Linked DNA regions of Sus scrofa. The protein of the gene in region 1 purifies or fractionates together with the protein of each later gene. This does not show direct contact. Links are inferred from orthologs where the notes say so. Each region holds a gene or a part of one and is shown on either strand. Other genes may lie near its edges.

Region 1 (4,003 bases):
GGTTAAAATAGAAGAGTAAATGACACTTGGAGAAACTGCGTACTGTTAAAGAGAATCAGCATTCCTCTCGCAATCTTACTAATACTCTTATTTTTAATAGCAAATCATCTTTAACATAACTGGTATCAAGTCAAGTACATATTGCCCATACTTACATGGTGTAATTAGGAATTAAAGTGGAGTGTAATTTATTATTGGTTTATGCATTCTGGTTATTGTAAATCAGTGGTAAGATAACATATACTTAAAAGTTTACCCAGGATCACTAAAATCAAGCCAAAAAACAAAAGCAGTGAAGTTACTTAAGACAATTTTGTCTAGTTTTTCCAAAATCAAAATACACAATACAACAGATTATGTGCACCTTGCTAATGCTCCTATTTCTCTAGCAAAATAAACATTGATATATAAACATTTAAAAATTATAGTATGTCGAATATTGCTAGTGAATATCTGGCTTACCTCATAAGGTAGTTTATCAAAATATCCATTACTTGGCCCTTCCCTGAGGGCAATACTGCTAAACTTTTTGTTCAGATTGTCCATTCCACAACCATCCTTTTCTTCATAGTCATCTTCATCTAGATCATTCATGTCAATAAGTGAAGTCTTGAGAGAAAGCAGTGGCTTGTCCTTCACACCATGTAATACAACTGCATCTAATTCAGTGTAATAATCCAGAAGAGAACTATTTACTTCCAGCCGTATAAGATTTGTGGGGAAATTTATCTGCTTAATACAAGGTTTAAACTGGCGAGCCTGGGAAGCATTCACCTTCGTAGGTTTCTCTGACCAAAGAATCTCCCATCTGCCAAAGAAAAAAACTCCCCTATAATACAGTTTAGAATGAGATTTACTGTTATTAAGGTTAGGGGCCCAGCCCAATACATTATAGTGTGAAGCAAAGGCATTAAACACGGTGAACAGAATCAAACCAAGTATTATTTCCAGGACATGAAAAAAAATTTAAAACCTAATGCCATAGACCTTATTACTCAAAATACTTTCACTATTTAAGTTATTTTTACAGCTCCCTAGAAAGTCATGTTTTGGCAGCTTTCACCTTGGTTAGTTAAGACCTGAAATGGTAGTCAGAGGTTCTGAACAACATTCAGTTTTACAGAAAGAGTAAACGTGAAGTAGTAAAGCACACAGTTGAAAGCTCTCCTGTGTGTGTGCCCTAAACCCACAGTGGGAGCTAAACTGATCACCGTGCCTCACCAAGTTCCCCTTTACTATTTGTTACTGGCATCATACACACTCAACACTTTCATTATCTTTGATTTCCCCTTATCCAGTCATTAAGTTTTATCACATTTTTCAAGAAATTGTCTCTTATATACTGCCCCTCTCCTAAATATCCATTATTGTCATCTTCTGGGCCTCCTTGTATCCTCGTGGGGATACCTGGCCAATATCTAACATACGACAGGTGAGTAACATCTTCTCCTATTCCCCCAAAACGAACTTCCACTTTTCAGCCAGGCTGATCATTACTTTCCAGATAATAAACTTATTTCCACACAAAGGTATGTGCTCATGTTGCCTCCCCGCCAATGAAACAGCTAACCTGTAATTATCTGCCCATCTATTCTTCTTGACATAACTTATATTCTATCTCTTTATATCAGTCTTCTTATAAAATTGTTTTCCAAAATTATTTAAAGATTCTTCACAACACAGCATCATTAGGTATATAACATTCTCATATATATGGTATAAATACCCAGTTCTCTAATATTTTTCTGAATATATCAGAGATAATTAAAGACATAGACAAAAATATTTAAATGAACATCTCTCCCCTCTATTTACTTTAGTTATCAGAATATTTAAATAAAGATTTTATATCAAAGGCTAAGAACACTTAAGTCTCCCAATACATCCTATGAACTGCTTTCAAAGAAGTTTATGCCAACACTGTATAAGAATGATCACTGAAACTATTCTTCATTTTTAAAGGTTTTTTTTCCCCCTCCAATATATTCTCAGTTCATTTCCTTGGCCCAAAGGCCTATTGAGATCTAAGCAAAAATTGATGACAGCAAGGCATTTAGGAAACTGAAATAGACAAGAGTGTGAAACTCAGGGGAGAAATCTGAGCCAAGACTATAGAAGTCAGCAACATACAACTACCATAATGGTCTTTAGGCCAAGACAGGAGCAAGAAAGGCATAAAGCACAAATCTCCAAAGAACGGAGAAGGTAAGTATGGTAATTTCCACCTTTAGGTATAAAAGCATAAGGCATAAACTCCATGGGGATTCCAGTAAACATCTCACCAACCGTAACAGTAGGAATTTTACGGTTAACAGATCCTAATCACCCCATATTTGCTACATTTGCTACTTCTCTCCTGAAAACTAGGAATAAAGACATAAAGAGCCTGTGAGTATTTGTACTTGGAGACAATGCGAATGCAGGAATGGAGAGGCTGGTTCTGCTCTATAACCAACCTTGGGAGGCAGAAGAAGAGTTCTAAAGAATAGCGCAGGCTGTGGCAGATTTAAGGAGGAAACGAAAGGAGGCTAAGCATCTTCTTACTTCCTGTGACAAGGCAGAAAAGCAAATGTGGAATGCCAGCCTAGACCTAAGATGTGCCGCTAGAGCTTAAATGCAAAAATCTTGAGAGTTTCTAACAATGGAATTGATTCGAACGTTCTACTGAAAATCCACACAGTTAAACAGAGCCAGACATACAGGAACAGAAGTATGAGACATTTAAAACCATGTTAGTGGGAAAATGAATTCCTAGTTTTGGACAGTACATTTCCAAGAAATGGTGGAAGGTATGAGAAAATTCAGATTTTCGGTTCTGCTCACCCTTTCGTTGCTGCTGGAAAGTGACATCAGTGGATGCTGGAGAATGTCTCACGTCCAAGAAACAAGGACCACTCAGGACCCTGTGAAATAACTGCCTATACGGGTTCACAACACGTGGACTAAACCAGCCTATTTTATTGTTTGGCTTCAATGAGAAGTTTTTATGAGGCTTAACAGAAACACTGAAAATGTAATATAGAAATCACCTCTGCCAGGTCCTTTGCAATAAATAAAGACAGACAAAACATGTTCTTCATGTATAGCTTAACCTGCATCATAATGCAAATTACATTATAAAATTACAAATGTAAACTTAAACACAAGCATTGATTAGAGCAGAAATAGTCTATTGTAATAATGCATTAATCTATTAAAGTCCTCTCTCTCTTCACCTTGCAGAATAGACAAGGTTAAGATGATGCTTTAAATTGATTTCTACTGTGTTTAAACCTATGAGGGTTAAAGCTATTTTAGCATCATTTTTGCTTCTGACTTTTATATATCATGAACATTACATATTTAACATATAAGTTTAAATGTGATAGCATACTTAAAGTGGAATATCAAATCATCAGTTTTTAGAACTATTCTTAAATGTCTAAATATAAAAAACTCAAACATGTTTTTTTACATTTATGTTTTATTTATATTTTATTTTTATTTTTGATAACCTAAGAAGTAACAAAGAAGAATGGAAAAAAGATAGAATAAGTATTTTATAGGCCTGTGGTCATTTGAATTAAGTTAACATTAACTATGAGACCAACACAAATTGATTTTGGAGTAGCTGTATTAAATTGAATTTTTGTTCGAAATTCTAATAGAACTAGAATACATTATTTTAAATTTATAGAGAGGAAGAGATATGTTTACCCAACAAGAGAATATGCCAATATCTTTTTTTTAATTACACTGTAGTTGATTTACAATATTATATGAGTTTCAGGTATATAACATGGTGATTCAACATTTTTATAGATTATACTCCACTTAAGTTATTATAAAATAATGGCTATATTTCCTACGCCAATATCTTTTTATTCTAGGAAACCAAAGCCAGAGTTTTAAAAACTAGTCAGTGAAAACAAGAAAGCAAATACATACATGCATGTATACACACACAGACACATAATTTTCTGTGACACAGCCCTGACTCTTAATCCTTAGACCCAGAGCAGAG
Region 2 (4,051 bases), on another chromosome or scaffold:
AGGAAGCCAGGGTTGCCACTGACCCCCTTCCACCTGCAGTCACGAGCGCCCTCGCCTTCCTGGGCCAGAAAGATGGGAGCCAGGCTGCTTCACGGCACCGCCTCAGCAGCACAAATAACCTGTCAAGTCACTGGTACAATGAGGCCTCAGAAAAAACAGGTGGTGATACCTCTGCCCAGACTCGGGCCCCTGCCCACACCTGCCTACCACGCACACAGCAGGACACAGGGCAGGTGAGCATGGCAGGTGAGAAGGATGAGCAGCCTCGGCTGCTCATTCGAAGTCACATCACAAAAGGGGCTGACAAGCCTTAGACTTGTTAGCCCGTCTTGATGTTCATTCGTTTTGTTAAAACACAAACTGTGACCCCTTTCTCCACAGTCCTGCCTCCACAGTGAGACGCCAGGCCCTGGGTCCCAGAGCCCCCGCACCCTGGTCTGGGCTGGCAGGCCTCCACCCAGGCTACCGAGGACCGCCTGCGGTGCCCTCCCCGCTCTCTGGAGTCCCACCCCCGGTTCGGAAGGCTGGGTCAGAACCCAGTCGGGGCATTTCCTTTGCAAAAACTCTTGCGGTGATGAAGGTTTGAAAACTGCTAGGCAAGTTCCTAGGAGACAATGGGATCGAGGTCACAGAGGCCCCCGGAGAAGCGCCCCCATCCCAGGCAGAGCGGCTCACTAAGCCTGCAGGCAACCACCACCCGAACCAGCTGGGGTTTTACGAAGTGACAGTTTTAAAAAGCTTCTCAAGTTGGGTGGGACAGGACAGAGGCCTGATGAACCGGGAAGTCGACCAGGCAGGTCACCGAGGCTCCAAGAAGCAGGAGCTGATTAGTCGCACCCTCCGCCTGCCTGGCGAGCGCCCTGTCGCTGAGGCTCCAAGCCGCCCACCAGCACCCAAAGGAGGCGGCCCTGAGAAGTCACTGCGGCCTCATTCACTCCTCTCTGGGCCAGGACCTAGTGTCTGAAATGTCACCCTACTGCACCGGACACATGCGCTACTCACCTTCCTCTCCATGCGCCCGGGCCCCTGGTGGGCTGCTGGTGACAGCAGAACCCTAGGGCTGCAGGAGAAGGGCTGGGGCGGCCTCGGGCACCCCAGGGCACCTCACGGCGCTGGTCAGGCCCCAGCAGAGCAGGGAGGGCGTTCTCCAGGACAGTAAGTCTCCCCCCCACACACACTCTAGCAGCTGTTTATCTGAGGAAAAGGTCGAGCTGCCAGTCAAGAGCTCTGAGCGGGAAGGACCAGGAGTCCAGAGGGAGCCATCAGCTTGGCTGTGAACTCGGGAGACACCCAGTCAAAGGCGGGAGCAGAGGGGAGAACGCGTGCTGCTGTCCGTCGGTGGGGCTACCAAGGCTCAGCGTTCTTTCCAAGGTAAACAAGAGGCAGTCAAACCAAAACAGAGCTGAGGACAGGCGCCACCAACCCGGGCGGGGACTCACGTTTCTCAGGGCGGACCCGGGGCCCATGTGACCCTCTGGGCAGGACCCTGAGCAAGTGCCCCACAGCACGTACCCGAGAGGAGCCCAAAGAGCCCAGCAGGAGTTTCCACTCGGCCTGCAACTGTCTTTTTATAGAATAAACAAAACAGAAAAACAAATCTTTTAACTTGGGAGCTGGCCTTCTGCATTGCCAATGACTCAGCAGTTTGGTGTGTCAATCAAGGAACGGAGATGGGGGCTCTGGGCGCTTAGAACCCTTCCAGACACAAATCTCAACCACCAAAGCACGAGGTCAGAAGCGTAGACGAGTGACCACGGCATCCTCGGTGGTGAGAAAAGACAGATTCAATCTCAACCTGTTTCCAAGAAGATAAGCAGTGTTGAAATTTAATGAGATGACAGGATTTTTAAACTGTCGTCTTAGTTCTAAATGCACATTATACAACGCATTACACCGAGTCTTACTTAGGAAAAGCTTGTTGGAAGGCGTAAGAAAATGTGGCTAAGTTCAGATAACAAAAAGGTTTTCAAAAACTTAAAAATGCACCCGCAAAGGTTTCGACGGTCCTCTCCAAACTTATTTACGTGCTCCCGCTGCCTAAACTCTTGCTTCAGAGGATCCAAAGGTCGCGCGCACGGCCCCTCCTCCAGCCCGCGGCCGCGGGGCTCCCCAGGGACAGGACCGCGAGGCCGGACCCCGCGAGCCCGCTTTCCGGGAGGGGCAGGGGGTCCCCGCCTCGCCGGCCACCAGTCCGCGTCCAGCTTGGCTTTGGAACGACCCCCAGGACGAGAGAACCTGAGCTTCAGGGAAGAGCTGGCGGCGCGCCCCCGCCGTGTCTAAGCGGCCCCCCGACGCTGACCGGCGCCCCGCACCCCCGGCAGCCCCGGCAGCCCACGTCCCCCAGCCGCGCCTCCGGACCGAGCCGACGACGCTGCAACCACGTCCACGAACTCCACCCGCAAGCCAGGCGTTTGCTCGCCGGTACCGGCACGGGCCCTGGGCTGCGCCTCTGCCGTCCGGGGAGGCTGCACCCGCCGCGCCCCGAGCCCGCGGCGCCCGGCCTCCCGGGGGTCCCCGCGCAGCCCCTCCACCAGGCCGCCCGGGCCCGCTCACCGTGCAGGCTCTCCTCCTGCAGCCCGGGGGCCTCGCTCTGAGACATGGCGGCGGGGCGGCGGGGGCCGGAGCCGAGCTGCGGCCGCAGAGGGACGGGGGGAGGCGGCAGCGGTGGCGGCGGCGGCGGCGGCGCGGGCCTAGCAGCTCGAGCGCGGTCGGCCCGCGGCCCGACTGACTGACGCTGGCGGCGGACGCACGGCGGATAAGCGGCGGCGAAGCGGCGGCGCCGCCCATTGGCCGCGGGGCGGGGCCTTCGAGGGCGCGTGCGGCGCGTGCGACGCGTGCGCGGGGCGGGGGCGGGGGAGGGGTCGCCTGAGGAGTGGAGCGCGCGTGCGCTGGCCGGGCGGTGCGGAGGGGGCTGCGCGTGCGCAGGCGGGACGGGGCGCGGGGCGGGGCGGGGAGACCCGGGCCGGGAGCGCGCGCCCTGGGGGGCGAGGCGTGGGAAACCGGCAGGTGCGTGTCGGACGTGCGGGCCCCGCGGAGAAACCTAGGCCGGCGGGAGGCGGGGCCTGGCGGGGCCTGGGCGTCGGTGATACTGCCTGAGGCCTGACCGCGCTCCCTCTGACCGCGGGGAGGAGAGCAAGGGAGGCGGGGCAGCCAGCCGAAGGCGGCGCTGGCAGTTTGGCCGGCGTCCTGAGGCCACCAGCCGGTCGCCCCTCTCAGTTGACCGCCTTTTGTACGTCAGCCTGGCGGGAAGTCAGATCAGAATCTCTGGCAACAGGTCTGGGATGCCGCACATCAGCCCTGTGACCACAAGGCCTAAATGGCCAGGACTTGATCAGCGATGACAGCTTCCCCGACTTCGGTCCCTGCCTCCAGCTCAGGACCAACCAGAGAAAGACAGATAGGACCAATATTTGCGTCCCTAGCCAATCGCAGGGACGCGGCGGATGCTCATGAGAGGGGCATCAATCTTGCTTTCTCTCTGGATGTCCAGGAGCTGGCCTTGCTTTCAGGCTGACTGTCCTTCTCATTTTCACTTGCTCATGGTGCGTGGAGCCCACGCCGCCCCTGTCCCAGCGGCATTCTAGTTGGGTGCAGCCAGGAACAAACAGAACAGCGTGTCCCTGCAGAGGCGCGAATTGCAGTCTCTCAGTGTTCCCACCCCAGCCCTCCCCAGGCGCCCCTCCCAGCTCCTCGGCCCCTCTTCCTGGGGAAGCAGCTGCGGTATTGAGCCTTAGGGCCCACAGACACCCTGTGTTTGGCCATCATTTAGGTGTTCTTTGACTTTTTTCTCAGCAGTATCTTGCAGTTGTCAGGGTTCAGGGCTCGCACATCTTTTGTCAGAGGCATCTCTAAATATTCATACTTTTAATGTTATGGTGACTACCGTTGTTAAATCTCATTTGATTGCTTTTTGAAAATATATAGGAATATGGATTTTAGTGTCATCACGTCTTGCAACCTGCTAAGCTCACTGAAGTTTTTTATAAGTCCTCGAAAAGACAGTGGCACCTGGTTTTCCTTCCCCATGTGGAACCCTCTACAGCTTCCAGCA
Region 3 (4,609 bases), on another chromosome or scaffold:
GAAAAGGAAAAAGTATTTCTCACTCTCTCCCCAAGTTTTCAAGGTCCCACATGTAACTCATCCTAACTAGGGAGTGAAACATGTCATTACGTCTTATCTTCTTTCCTCAAAACCTTTATTTCATCTCAAGTACCTGATGCTGGAATCTGGAATGAGAACAGTCACTAATACTCTTCTCAAAAAAGGTTGACCTTCTTGCACAAGTACCTGCTTATACACCACTTAGGTGTTCAAAACAATATCATAAGGCATTGAAATTTCATGTGTCATGGCCTTGAAAGCCTTCTTGCCATCCTGGGGAAGCAAGTGCAACACAGTAGATGCTTAAAAAGATAAAAAAGGGCTGTAATTCCAACATGCACAAATTATTACCATAATTTTCCTTATATTACTTACTGAATTTTATGACATAAATTCCCAATACAAATATTTGTAAGTGACCTGATAGTTTTCTCTAGAATAAAACTATCAACTGAAAAATGTCCTTTTAATTTTGGAAGTAGTTCAGATATTTGTCCACTAATTTGTAATGAAAGTGAACAGTTCCCTTACAAGGATAAACTTTTTAAAAAAATCAAAGAAAGCTTTCATTATTCCAAATATTTCAATAACTTGCTATTAAAACTCTGCTTTGACCCCTGCACTAAAGATAAAATCCCAAGCCAGAGATAATCTGTACAATGAGTTCATCTCCTGTTTTTTTTCAGAGTTGTGCAACTTTACCCAACAAAGAACTTCAACTTATCAGCAATTTGGATAGTATTAGATGCCTGAATAAGTTGTTCTGCTCAGTGCCCAAAATCACTTGAAGGAATCAATAAGGCTTGTTTTTGTTCAGTCTAGTGTTGTATAATGAGCTAAAAAAACAGTAAAAGGCATGAGGAAAGTAATGAAATATGGCACTATCTAAAAGCTTTTCAGTAACATTGAAAAGCAGCTCACCCTAGCTTAAATAAAATACTTTCTATGTAGCAGACTTCCCAAAATGTGCAACATTTTGATAGCACACACAGGCTGAGTGTTCTTCCACTTCTGTAAGACTGAATACAAATGGAGCAGCAACTGATTGGCCAAGGACATCAAACATAGGTCTGTCAGGACATGGAGAAAAACCATCCCATATAGCTCATCCCCATTTTCCTGTCACATGATCAAAAGAAAATAAAAATCCCTTCACTTTCTGTGAAATTGTGTATACATATTAACCAAATAACCAACTTGTATCATAGGAAAACTGGAATACAATTAGGAAACAGTGTACTAAAAAGAGACAGATCAGCAGGCTACCTCTAAATAACAGGTAGGGTAACAGAGAATAAGAAACACACATAATCAGGGGATAGTGGGCCCCTGAAAAGATGTGTCCTGAAAGGAATGCCAGACGGGGTGAAAGTAAAACCTCCACTTTAGGACATAACCTGCTGTGAACATGGACAACACACTTTACTCTAGGCCTCTTTCTCTACCAGTAAATAAGAGTAGACAGTTACCTCTAAAGTTTCTTCTCATCCTAAAACCACATCCTTCTAAAAGAGGAGGCTAAAAACTGGTAAGTAATGTTAAAATGCATATTCATATTTGAAGCAAGTAATGTTTAAAGACACAAACATTAACCCTAATTTACTGTAGGAATTAATATATAAACCTTACGTTCTAGAACACTTCAAAAAGTTTTTAAAAGTCAACATTTAAGGAATTATCCATCAGAAGGAGCAGCAGCAATAAGGAATGAAAACATCTTGAAAATACTCAAATTCTATCCCCATCTTGTGAGGACAGGAACTCGCTTCCCTAAAATTTTTAGGCCATGCTGAAACACCTCCCTAGGATGAAAGATACTTAAGTGCCTTTGAATGTCATTTAAGCATCCAAATGATTTTTAAACGACTTCATCTGGCCATATGCTAACTGTCCCAACCACCTCTTCCAGGAGATGAATTACAGGAAGGTTAGGCAAGAACCTTTCCAAGACTTGCAGCCAGCTTTAAAGACAACTGGAAATAACCTTAGGACGTGATGTCTAAGCACCAGGATGTTAGGAAAAGCAACTGTAGTTGGTCGTAATTCGATACTGCCCTTAACTTTCAACTGCCCCGGTGTACGAAATTCATTGCCCCAGTCACTGTGATTTGTGCGATCTTGGATGGTTCAAGAGCTGTTCATAATCAGGTTTACAGGGCAAATAACCTCATCGTTTAAAAAAAAAAAAATTACTTGAGCAACTCTGAAACCTCTCAAAAAAAAAGTATCATAGCTTCCTCACCCCCCCTCACGTGATACAAGTAACCACTAAATTACCAAATAATTTTCCTAACCAGTCTGTGCTAACAAAGGGACGCAACAAGAGGGCTCACGTTCCGAGCCCTGGAGGGAAGGCCGACCCAGTGAGGGGTGGTCACCGGGCCTGGCCCAAGCTCCGCTGCACACTGGACCACCCGCCAGTCCCTCGGTCGCCCCCTCCCCTAAAACCGGCGCCTGCGTCCATCCCCCGGCGTCCCCGTCGCACGTCCCCATCCCTGCCCACGTCCCCTAGGCGGCCCGCTCCGCCCACCCTCCCTCCCCGCGCCCCAAGGCCCGCCCCTCCACGCCCCGATTGGCTGCACTCAGGGGCTCACCACAGGTGCGATCGGCTCGACCCCCTGATCTTCCCACCCACCTACCCTTCCCAAAGGCGAACCCAACAGCCCATCACCCAAGAACTCAGAAGGGAAAAGAGAGAGGTCAGGAGGAAGATAAGAGCAACTCCTCCTGACGGGTGATGGGAGCTGTCAATCACCCGCACATCCTCGACCTCGACCAATGGGCTGCCTTCTTTTCCCGCCCCCAGCGCGGAGCTGGCGGCGGCGGCCCGAGCAGCTCCTCCTCCCCCATCCCCTTTACCGAGCCCGCCGGGCCAGCACTTACTGTTGAGGCCGGCTGGCGGGGGCAGAGACTGTTCACCTTCCTCACAGTTGTTGTTGTTGTTGTGCAGAGGAGGCGGCTGCTCTACTAAGTGAGACATTGTCAGGCGGCTGGAAGAGCTGCGACCGCAGCAGTACCGTCTCTGGTTCTCCGGCAGCAACACAACAAGCCGAGTCCCCCGCCCCCTTTTCTGCGCCTGCGCAGTCCCTCCCCCGCCCCTGACGTCAGGGCCCGCCCCAGCCACGTGATGACAACACAACTGGCGACGGGGCGGGGCGCAGGCGTGCCCAGGAGAGCCACGGACTTGGAGACGCGCGAGTCACGGTGACGCCCGCGCCAGGAATGAATTCTTGCATGTCATTTGTATTGGCCGGATGGAGTGAGGTATGCGGCTGGAACCAGGATAGAGGATGGGCACAAGTGTGTCATGAGGAAGTGCAAGGCGCTCAGGCGCTGGCGCCCAAATCTCCCACACCTACAGTATCAACATTGTTTTATCCAATCTGTGAGCATTTCTTTTTTAATATCTGTAAGGACTCAGTCAGTAATAGGTATTGTGCTGACACAAAGAAAGCAAAAGAAGCCCTGGTGCCTCCCCGTCGTAAACCTAAAATAAAGCTGGTGGAACATTGACACTCCAGGCAGGGAACAATAAAGGCAGGCCAGACTTTCTAGTTGTTAAATAATGCAAAAATTTTTCATTACAGACCCCACGCAATCTTTGTTTTAAAAAGATGGAAAAGTTCAGGAAAACATAGAGAAGAAAACAATCATCCACATTCCATCACTTAACAATTTCTAGGACATAACATGGGAAGCCATGTTTCTTATACGTGAGTGACAGTAAACTATGTTCCAGAACACTCGCCCTGCTTCGTATCTCCATGACTTGTCGTTTCCTTGGTCTCATTTATGTGTGGCATTTATCTCAGCCTATCGCTTGTCCTTTAACCCTGTTTCATTCCTCAGAAGTTAAAATTTTCAGGCAATCACATCTATTATTTTCATATGCCTTGGGAACACCCTCACAGCAAGATACTGAATCCAGTCCCTATATATTTTTATAATTTTCTTATAGGTTTAATTTTTGTATTTATACCCTTAATCCATCTGAAATTTATTTTTATGTGTTGTGAATTGCTTAACTTCAGTTGTTCCCAATTGACCCAACAATATTAATTTTTGAGTCATCCTTTTCACACCAAAATGGCACCTCTATCAAATTCTAAATGAGTCCATTTCAGGTTTCTCTACAGTAGCTCTATCAGATAAATATTAGAGAAAGGACCTCCTTTTTTGTCTTTAAAAATTTTTTCATGACTAATTACTCTTCAGATGAACTTTGGGGAGATAATCGACATATTTACAAAGTTGTATACCATTCAGGCTGATATCCCTCCTTATTCTATCCTAAGTTTTTTAAAATGTTTGTATTAAAGTATAGTTGATTTACAACGTTGTGCCAGTTTCTGCTGTCAGAAAAGTGACTCGGTTGTACATATAAGTACATTCTTTTTTATGTTCTTTTCCATCATAGTCTGTCCCAGGAGATTGGATATAGTTCCCTGTGCTGTAACAGTAGGACCTCATTGCTTTTCCATTCCAAGGGTAATAGTTTGCATCTACTAACCCCAAACTCCCAGTTCATCCTTCTCCTTCCCCCTCCCTCACCTTGGCGACCACAAGGCTGTTCTCTAGTCTGTGACTC

What was found.
Region 2: the proteins of FBXL4 (region 1) and BNIP3 purify together in Homo sapiens (affinity purification with western blotting; 4 studies listed by BioGRID, with this or other methods). This does not show direct contact. The link is inferred for Sus scrofa from reciprocal best matches to the Homo sapiens genes FBXL4 and BNIP3.
Region 3: the proteins of FBXL4 (region 1) and BNIP3L purify together in Homo sapiens (affinity purification with western blotting; 4 studies listed by BioGRID, with this or other methods). This does not show direct contact. The link is inferred for Sus scrofa from reciprocal best matches to the Homo sapiens genes FBXL4 and BNIP3L.

The regions. Positions count from the first base shown.
Region 1 is NC_010443.5:65,910,855-65,914,857, forward strand, and holds part of FBXL4 (F-box/LRR-repeat protein 4), read right to left. Parts: intron 809-4,003; coding exon 463-808; intron 1-462. UniProt on the Homo sapiens protein: Substrate-recognition component of the mitochondria-localized SCF-FBXL4 ubiquitin E3 ligase complex that plays a role in the restriction of mitophagy by controlling the degradation of BNIP3 and NIX mitophagy receptors.
Region 2 is NC_010456.5:140,369,152-140,373,202, forward strand, and holds the start of BNIP3 (BCL2/adenovirus E1B 19 kDa protein-interacting protein 3), read right to left. Parts: upstream 2,801-4,051; 5' UTR 2,600-2,800; coding exon 2,554-2,599; intron 1-2,553. UniProt on the Homo sapiens protein: Apoptosis-inducing protein that can overcome BCL2 suppression. May play a role in repartitioning calcium between the two major intracellular calcium stores in association with BCL2.
Region 3 is NC_010456.5:10,317,186-10,321,794, reverse strand, and holds the start of BNIP3L (BCL2/adenovirus E1B 19 kDa protein-interacting protein 3-like), read right to left. Parts: upstream 3,108-4,609; 5' UTR 3,002-3,107; coding exon 2,905-3,001; intron 1-2,904.